2 linked regions of the Macaca fascicularis genome follow. The protein of the gene in region 2 binds, or shares a complex with, the protein of the main gene of each other region. Links are inferred from orthologs where the notes say so. Each region holds a gene or a part of one and is shown on either strand. Other genes may lie near its edges.

Evidence for each region. The genes of interacting proteins can lie anywhere in the genome.
Region 1: CWC22 (region 2) and PPIL2 share a complex: the UniProt entries of both Homo sapiens proteins name them as parts of the minor spliceosome. The link is inferred for Macaca fascicularis from reciprocal best matches to the Homo sapiens genes CWC22 and PPIL2.

The regions. Positions count from the first base shown.
Region 1 is NC_088384.1:31,438,718-31,442,276, reverse strand, and holds part of PPIL2 (RING-type E3 ubiquitin-protein ligase PPIL2), read left to right. Parts: intron 1-2,151; coding exon 2,152-2,208; intron 2,209-2,919; coding exon 2,920-2,992; intron 2,993-3,081; coding exon 3,082-3,144; intron 3,145-3,262; coding exon 3,263-3,396; intron 3,397-3,559. UniProt on the Homo sapiens protein: Has a ubiquitin-protein ligase activity acting as an E3 ubiquitin protein ligase or as an ubiquitin-ubiquitin ligase promoting elongation of ubiquitin chains on substrates.
Region 2 is NC_088386.1:75,564,182-75,568,541, forward strand, and holds the start of CWC22 (pre-mRNA-splicing factor CWC22 homolog), read right to left. Parts: upstream 2,886-4,360; 5' UTR 2,846-2,885; intron 1-2,845. UniProt on the Homo sapiens protein: Required for pre-mRNA splicing as component of the spliceosome. As a component of the minor spliceosome, involved in the splicing of U12-type introns in pre-mRNAs. Promotes exon-junction complex (EJC) assembly.

The DNA of each region.
Region 1 (3,559 bases), on a different chromosome or scaffold from region 2:
CGTGGTGGGCACCTGTAGTCCCAGCTACTTGGGAGGCTGAGGCAGGAGAATGGTGCGAACCCAGGAGGCAGAGCTTGCAGTGAGCCGAGATTGCGGCACTGCCCTCCGGCCTGGGCGACAGAGCGAGACTCCGTCTCAAAAAAAGAAAAAACTGTCAGGATCGATCCCAGCACTTTGGGAGGCCGAGGCGGGCGGATCACCTGAGGCCAGTAGTTTAAGACCAGCCTGGCCAACATGGTGAAACCATGTCTCTACTAAAAATATAAAAATTAGCCAGGCATGGTGGTGGGCACCTGTAATTCCAGCTACTTGGGTGGCTGAGGCACGAGAATCGCTTGAACCCGGGAGGCAGACGTTGCAGTGAGCCAAGATCGCGCCACTGCACTGCAACCTGGGTGACAGCGAGACTCCGTCTCAAAGGGAAAAAAAAAAAAGACTTTTGGGATGAATGAGAACGCGACAGACCCCAGCTGTGAGCCTTCAAAAAGCCCTCAGAGGGCAGAGCCAGAGAGGCTGAAAGGAATACAGTGGAAGATACTGGGTGGGTCCCAGCACTGGTGGCACGGAGCACCCCAGGGTGGTGCAGGCAGGCACAGCCCACATACCCTGCTGGTGAGAGACAGGACCTAACCCCCGCTGCATCGAACATGCACCCCCCCAGCCACGCAGGGACATGATCCTGAGCCCACCGAGTCTGACCACCCCCAAGGCCACCAGACAAGTGTCCACAGATGTCACGTCTACAATGGGGCAGACCTGCGCTCTGACCTGCAAGTGGTTCTCTCTGGCTGATTTCTAACACAGTGAAGGAAACTAGAAGCAGAATTAAACTCAGATACGAGGAAAGTAAAAGAACCATCCCGAGGCAAGCTCCTCCTGGAAATTTTTTTTTTTTTTTTTTTTTTTTGAGGCGGAGTCTCGCTCTGTCGCCCAGGCTGGAGTGCAGTGGCGCGATCTCGGCTCACTGCAAGCTCCGCCTCCCGGGTTCCCGCCATTCTCCTGCCTCAGCCTCCCGAGTAGCTGGGACTACAGGCGCCGCCACCACGCCCGGCTAATTTTTTTGTATTTTTAGTGGAGACGGGGTTTCATTGTGTTAGCCAGGATGGTCTCGATCTCCTGACCTCGTGATCCGCCCGTCTCGGCCTCCCAAAGTGCTGGGATTACAGGCTTGAGCCACCATGCCCGGCTTTTTTTTTTTTTTTGAGACAGAGTCTCGCTCTGCCGCCCAGGCTGGAGTGCAGTGGCGTGATCTTGGCTCACTGCAAGCTCTGCCTCCTGGGTTTACGCCATTCTCCTGCCTCAGCCTCCCGAGTAGCTGGGACTACAGGCGCCCGCCACCTCGCCCGGCTAGTTTTTTTGTATTTTTTAGTAGAGACGGGGTTTCACTGTGTCAGCCAGGATGGTCTCGATCTCCTGACCTCGTGATCCGCCTGTCTCGGCCTCCCAAAGTGCTGGGATTACAGGCTTGAGCCACCGCGCCCGGCCGGAAATTTTTTTTTTTAAGACGGCGACTCGCTCTGTCACCCAGGCTGGAGTGCAGTGGTGCCATCTCAACTCACTGCAACCTCTGCCTCCAGGGTTCACGCTATTGCCCCAGCTGTTCTTCAACTCCTGGACTCAAGCGGTCTTCCTGCCTCGGCCTGCCAAAGTGCTGGGATTACAGGCGTGAGCCACTGTGTCTGGATGACCTGAGCATTTTCTTTGTCCATGTTTATGTTACCCACGTTTCTGAATCCCTTGATTTCTGCTCTGGCTTTGTTGCCTCCTTTCTCCTCAGTCCTTCGACAGGTCCCTTGATGGCACGGGGCTGGCTCTGGTTTTCCAGGTGTCACCTTGTCCCAGCCACCTCCCACAGACCTGCATGACCAGGCTGGCTCTGGGCACAGGGACTCCCTGACAGGCACTGGGCAGCAGCCGGGGCAGCAGGAGGACCTGGGGACAGCTGGAGGTCCGGGGTTCCCTGGGCAGCCTTGGGGAGCTGATGACCTGCCCTGGTGGGCAGCAGCAGGGAGCCCCATGCACCCACGTGTCCACGGAAGCCGCAGGTTCCCAGAGCCGACTGTAGAGGGTGGGCAGCTCCTGGTGTGCTCTCAGGCAGGCCAGATGCAGAAGGTGCCATGCTCTCCCTAACCATCCAACCCTCCTCCCCAGCTTCATCACGTTTCGCTCCTGTGCCTACCTGGATAAGAAGCACACCATCTTTGGACGGTAAGGGAAGCGGCTGTGTGAAGCCTGGGGGTCAGTGGGCTAGGTGGGGTCCTTCCCCACCTGAGGCCTCCTCGCTGCCTTCTCTGTGGACCTGAGCCATGTGCCGTGCTGGCTGTCACTGCTGGGGGTTGAGGCTATGCAGAGCTGGGACAGAGGGTGCTCCCTGTGCCAGGGAAGTCTGGCTCTCCAGACCCACCGGGCTCAGGAGAGGAGGAAACACCCCTGCGTGGCCTGGCCGCTGCCCTGTCTCAGACCTGATGGCGCGCCACTCACAAGCCTGGCCACGCCCAGCTCCCTTCACCCTCTAGTCCAGGGGTCTTTCCAGCATTGTGGGCCGCGTGGTCTCTTGACGCCCACCCAACTGTGTGGAAGCAGCACAAAACAAGGTGGATGCAGGTGATGTGGTTCTGGCCAAGTGGAACTCTGTTACCAAACCAGTGGGGACAGCACAAGCCACATTTGTGACTCCTATTTTTCCTGTGGGTGGGGAACCAAAAGAGAACCAGAAAAAAAACCCAGCTGGATATGCCCAGGGCCATGGTCTGCTGACCCCGCCCTTGCCACGCCCTCTCATCGCCTTCCTGGCTGCTGCCCGAGGACCACCAGGCCAGCCTCGGGGCTCTCAACCCCTCTTCCCACATGCCTTGGTGCCCGGCCCTGAGGGTGCCCTCCTTGAGCACATGCAGACCCGCCTCTGTCTCCCTGCTGCAGTGTTGTTGGGGGCTTTGACGTACTGACAGCCATGGAGAATGTGGAGAGTGACCCCAAAACTGACCGCCCTAAGGTCTGTGCCCAGGGAGGTGGGGCGTGGCGGCTGGGGGCCAGGCAGGCGGGGGGAGGACCTGCCGTGCACTGAGTCCCCTCTGCTGCTAGGAGGAGATCCGCATCGATGCCACTACAGTGTTCGTGGACCCCTATGAGGAGGCTGATGCCCAGGTGAGGGGGCACGATGCCACCACCAGGAGGGTCTGGGCCAGCGCACCTTCCCACCCCAAGCCTAGCATCTGTCCTGCCCGAGGTGCTGCTGGTCAGCCTCCACCCTCTTGTGCCACAGATCGCCCAGGAGCGGAAGACACAGCTCGAGGCAGCCCCGGAGACCAAAGTGAAGAGCAGCCAGCCCGAGGCAGGGAGCCAGGGCCCCCAGACCTTCCGCCAGGGCGTGGGCAAGTACATCAACCCAGCAGCCACGTGAGTGCCGCGCGGTTGGCCTCTCTGTTTCCCATGGTGTTTCCTAGGGCTGACTGAGGTCTGAGGGTCAGATCCAGAGGGGCAAGAAAGCCACGGGCACTGGACCTGGGCATGGGCTTGTGCTGTGTGGCCTCTGCAGCCGAGGGACTACCTCTGAAGGCCT
Region 2 (4,360 bases):
TAGGTAGTACAAAATTCCATCTAAATACAGGTGGACAATAAACTGAAATTATTATTCAAGTTAAGGCATGGGCATTTGAAATACAAAATGTGTCACCGTGCTGTCTTCTGGGTGGTCTCAGGTACAAGCCACTGTAGGTCATTCAACAATGTTCAATCATGGGGAAGGAGAGTTAACTTCTTTTCTTTTTCTTCTTCTTTTTCTTGAGACAGAGGCTCACTTTATCACCCAAGCTGGAGTGCAGTGGAGTGATCTCGGCTCACCGCAACCTCCGCCTCCAGGTTCAAGTGATTCTCCTGCCTCAGCCACCCGAGTAGCTGGGGCTACAAATGCACAGCACCACACCCTGCTACATATTTTTGTATTTTTAGTAGAGACAGGGTTTCACCATGTTGGCCAGGCTGGTCTCGAACTGCTGATCTCAAGTGATCCGCCTGCCGTGGCCTCCCAAAGTGCTGGGAATGCAGGCATGAGCCATCGCGCCCCAACAGAAGAATTAACTTCTAAAAATTCAACAGCTGGGAAAGCTAATAGAGCTAAGAAAGCTCGCTTAGAAAAACCAGGTAGTCTAGGAAGTGTCAGAACTCCAAAAAGTGATTGGAGGTAATCTATCCAAAGCAGGGAAGGATGTGGTGGCATAATAATAAATACTGGCTGGCCATGGATCAAGTACTTTGGAGCAAGGAGGGAAACAAACCTGATTCTGAGGACAGGGGGAGGATGAACCATAGCATGCCCCTAAAAGATGGGCTAGAGCAGAAGTTTTCAAACTAACTGGCATGAGAATCACTCGAACGCTTTGGCGCAAAAAAACCCAAAAAAAAAAACAAAACTGTTGGGCCTGCATTTCTACGTTTCTGATTCAACAGAACTGGGTGAAGCCCAGTAATTTACATTGCTAATAAGCTTCAAAGAGATGTTGCTGATTCAGGAGACCACATTTTTGGAACCACTAGACCAGGGTATTAGATCAAAGTTCTTGGCCTTTAACTTATAACCAAGACGGTCTCAGAGCCCCAGTCAATTGAGTTGGGTAAGACTCCATAAAAGTGGCATGGACACTTAAAACTAGAAGGGCACTGGCCGAGCGCAGCGGCTCACCCTGTAATCCCAGCACTTTGGGAGGCTGAGGTGGGTGGATCACGAGGTCAGGAGATAGACACCATCCTGGCTAACATGGTGAAACCCCGTCTCTACTAAAAATAAAAAAAATTAGCAGGGCGTAGTGGCTGGCGCCTGTAGTCCCAGCTACTCGGGAGGCTGAGGCAGGAGAATGGCGTGAACTCGAAAGGCGGAGCTTGCAGCGAGCCAAGATCCGCCACTGCACTCCAGCCTGGGCGACAGAGTGAGACTCCGTCTCAAAAAAAAAAAAAACCTGGAAGGACACTTAAAGGTGGAAAGGCAACACTCAGACCCAGAGGGCAAGAACTGAGGCACAGACAGAACTCATCAACTGTATCATAGTAGCAATTTACAATAATACAAAGCTAACACTGTATATCAGGCACTGTGCTCAGTGCCTCATCTGCATTATTTTCTTTATACTCAAAAAAAGACAACACAGTGAGGCAGGTATTGTATTATTACCTACATGTTTTCAGATGATGAAGCTGACTATATATAATAGAGACTTTAACTTGCTCCAAGTGACAGACCTAATAATAGCTAAATAAAACTGAAATCTTTGGTCTACTAGTCCATCACCCAGGACCAACAAAAGTAGCTTTCCTCAACCTACTGATAAGGCCTGTAACAAGGCTTCTCCTCTCCTGGTCAAAACCACACTTTTAATGTCAATTTTAAATCTGCCCTTGCATAGTAGGATAATCTGTGTTAACTCCTGAATTCACAAGCAATCCTACAACAAGATAAGTCTAAATACGGATAAGAGGTAGGTTAACTGATCTGCTGAGGACCCAATTTGTTTGTTTATCTGCTATTTCGAGTCTCTGCACATCCAAAAATGCAAAGGAAACTCTTACCTAATTCTTGCATCTAGAATAGCCTTTCTCCAAATCCTGCCTTCTCCAATTACCTCAAAAGAATTGTTAGGATTAAGTGGAAATAGGTATGGTAGTTTTTGCAGTTAAACTCAGTGAAATTAACGATTATATTTCCGTTCTATAATGCTGTGTTACAGGACCCAAAGCTCCTTAGAGAGGTGGAGTCTGGACACCCAAGTTTAGCAGTTATTACCTCATTGGAGATAGTTCAAGTTATGTAAGGATCAAGAATGACAGGTGAAGAGGACACAAGAGAAGCGAAGCGTCTTCAAAACTAAACTCTAGAAACTATCAGTATTTACAGGGCAAATAAATGAAAAAGAAACCGCTAATGAAACGTAAAACAAATAGCCAAAGGGATATAACGCCGGAAAGAGGCATAAGAGTGCAAGTACTTCAACTAACTTTTAATCAACTAGAGCTCATTAATCCCACTCCCCAGGCACTGGGAAAGGGGCTTTGGCAAGCCCAATGGACTCCAGAGGCTCTAAGTATAAAACACACCGCACACGAAACAACAGAGCACCAGCGTTGGTGCAGGACTTCAGACAGCTGCAGGAACCTCACAAGGAAGGTCAGCCGGTCCGCTCAGGCAGTCAGTCAGTTCACCGCAGCCCATTCGCTCCCCACCCGCTTGGACTCCTCGGACCCAGCCACTCTCACACCCCTCTCGCGGGCCCGAGCGTGGCGGGAAGACCCACGCACACTCCAATGCCGCTCACAGCCGTATCAGTGAGCCCGCACCCACTCCTCAGGGTCTTTCACTTCCCACCCGACCCGACAACCCGCCACCCCCGCTCCGCTTCGGTGCCTACGGGGACTCCGCGGAGTTCGATAATTACCTAAAGCTGCACCGCGCCGCCATTACACCGGATGTACGTCACTTCCTCTTCCCGAGCACCGACAGTAGGAACAAGGCAGATACTGAAATACATAAAAACTTGACGCTCAATTGGCTTGACGCGTTATCCTTTTAATTTATTTCAGATACCATATCATAATGCCAGAGTCAAAGCAGTCGATCCAGGCACACTGTATTCTTATCAAAATGGCGACTAAAAAGAAGTTGGCATGAACTACAAAGTCCGAAATCCAGCACCTGTGCTGACGGAAATGACGAAAGCATAATTGTAGTTTAGCGGTGAAATGGCGCGGTGTACGATGGGAATTGTAGTTCATACAGATGCGCGCCAGCGAGTTAACATCCACGCTGCTGACTGGCAGCCTAGCAGTGTTTAGGGTCTAGGCAAATTTACTTTAATCTAAAAGTATTTCACTGCATTTTGGGAATTTTTTTTTTTTTTTAGTAGTCAGTTGTCACTTTCCTTGAAAATCTTAAGTGAGAGATTTTCTTGAGACTTTTTTTTATAAGAGTTTGACCAAGAGTCAAGTGCCTAATAAATTCCAAGACATCCAAGCCAAGAGAATGGGAGAATATTAGATCATAAATAGAGTGAAATAATGAGGAAAAAATAATTCTGTAGAGACTATGTTGCCTGTCTTTTAAGGTAAGGTACCAACTGGTATGACCTGAGAATAAGGAGATTGCCTGGCTGAGTAGGAAGTAGCAGTTTGTACAGCATGCAGAACTAGGGCATCAAACAAATTGTTTCTTTAAACTTCACTTTTCACTAGTAACAAAACGTAAAAGTTCAACTACTTACTATTTTGGAAACTCTCTTTCTAAAACAAGAATATCTTTATGTTATCAAATCTTTCATAAACCAGGCCTGATTTCTCCACACACTTCTCTATTACAGTTTTAGGGTGCTGTGCTTCCACTCCTTTCTGGAGGCAAAGTGTGAGAATTAAGAATAAAAACACTGCAGTTGGACTACTTACGTTTGAATCTTGAGTCCTTTGATTATTTATGGATGATTGGGGCAAGTAACTTCACATTCTGTGGCCGTTTCCTGATCTGTTAAATGGAAATACTAGTAGTACCCATTCATGCAGTAGTTGTAAGAATTGAATTAGTTGATTCACAAGATACGTTTAAGATAATTGCTAGTATACAATAGTGTTATCTATTTTATTTCATATTTAAGATATTTGGCCATTGTTGATGGTGCACTTTGGTGTACCAATACAGGGCACAGGAGATGGATCTGGAGATGAACATTTGTATTTATATATTTAAAAACCCACAATACTATCTGTGATGGTTAATTCTGAATATCAACTTGATTGGATTGAAGGATGCAAAGTATTGATCCTGGGTGTGTCTGTGAGGGTGTTGCCAAACTGTTGACAACTGTTTGTTGTCAAACAGTTGAGTCAGTGGACTGGGGAAGACAGACCCACCCTCAATCTGGTGGGAACAATCTAATCAGGTACCAGCGAAAATAAAGCGGGCA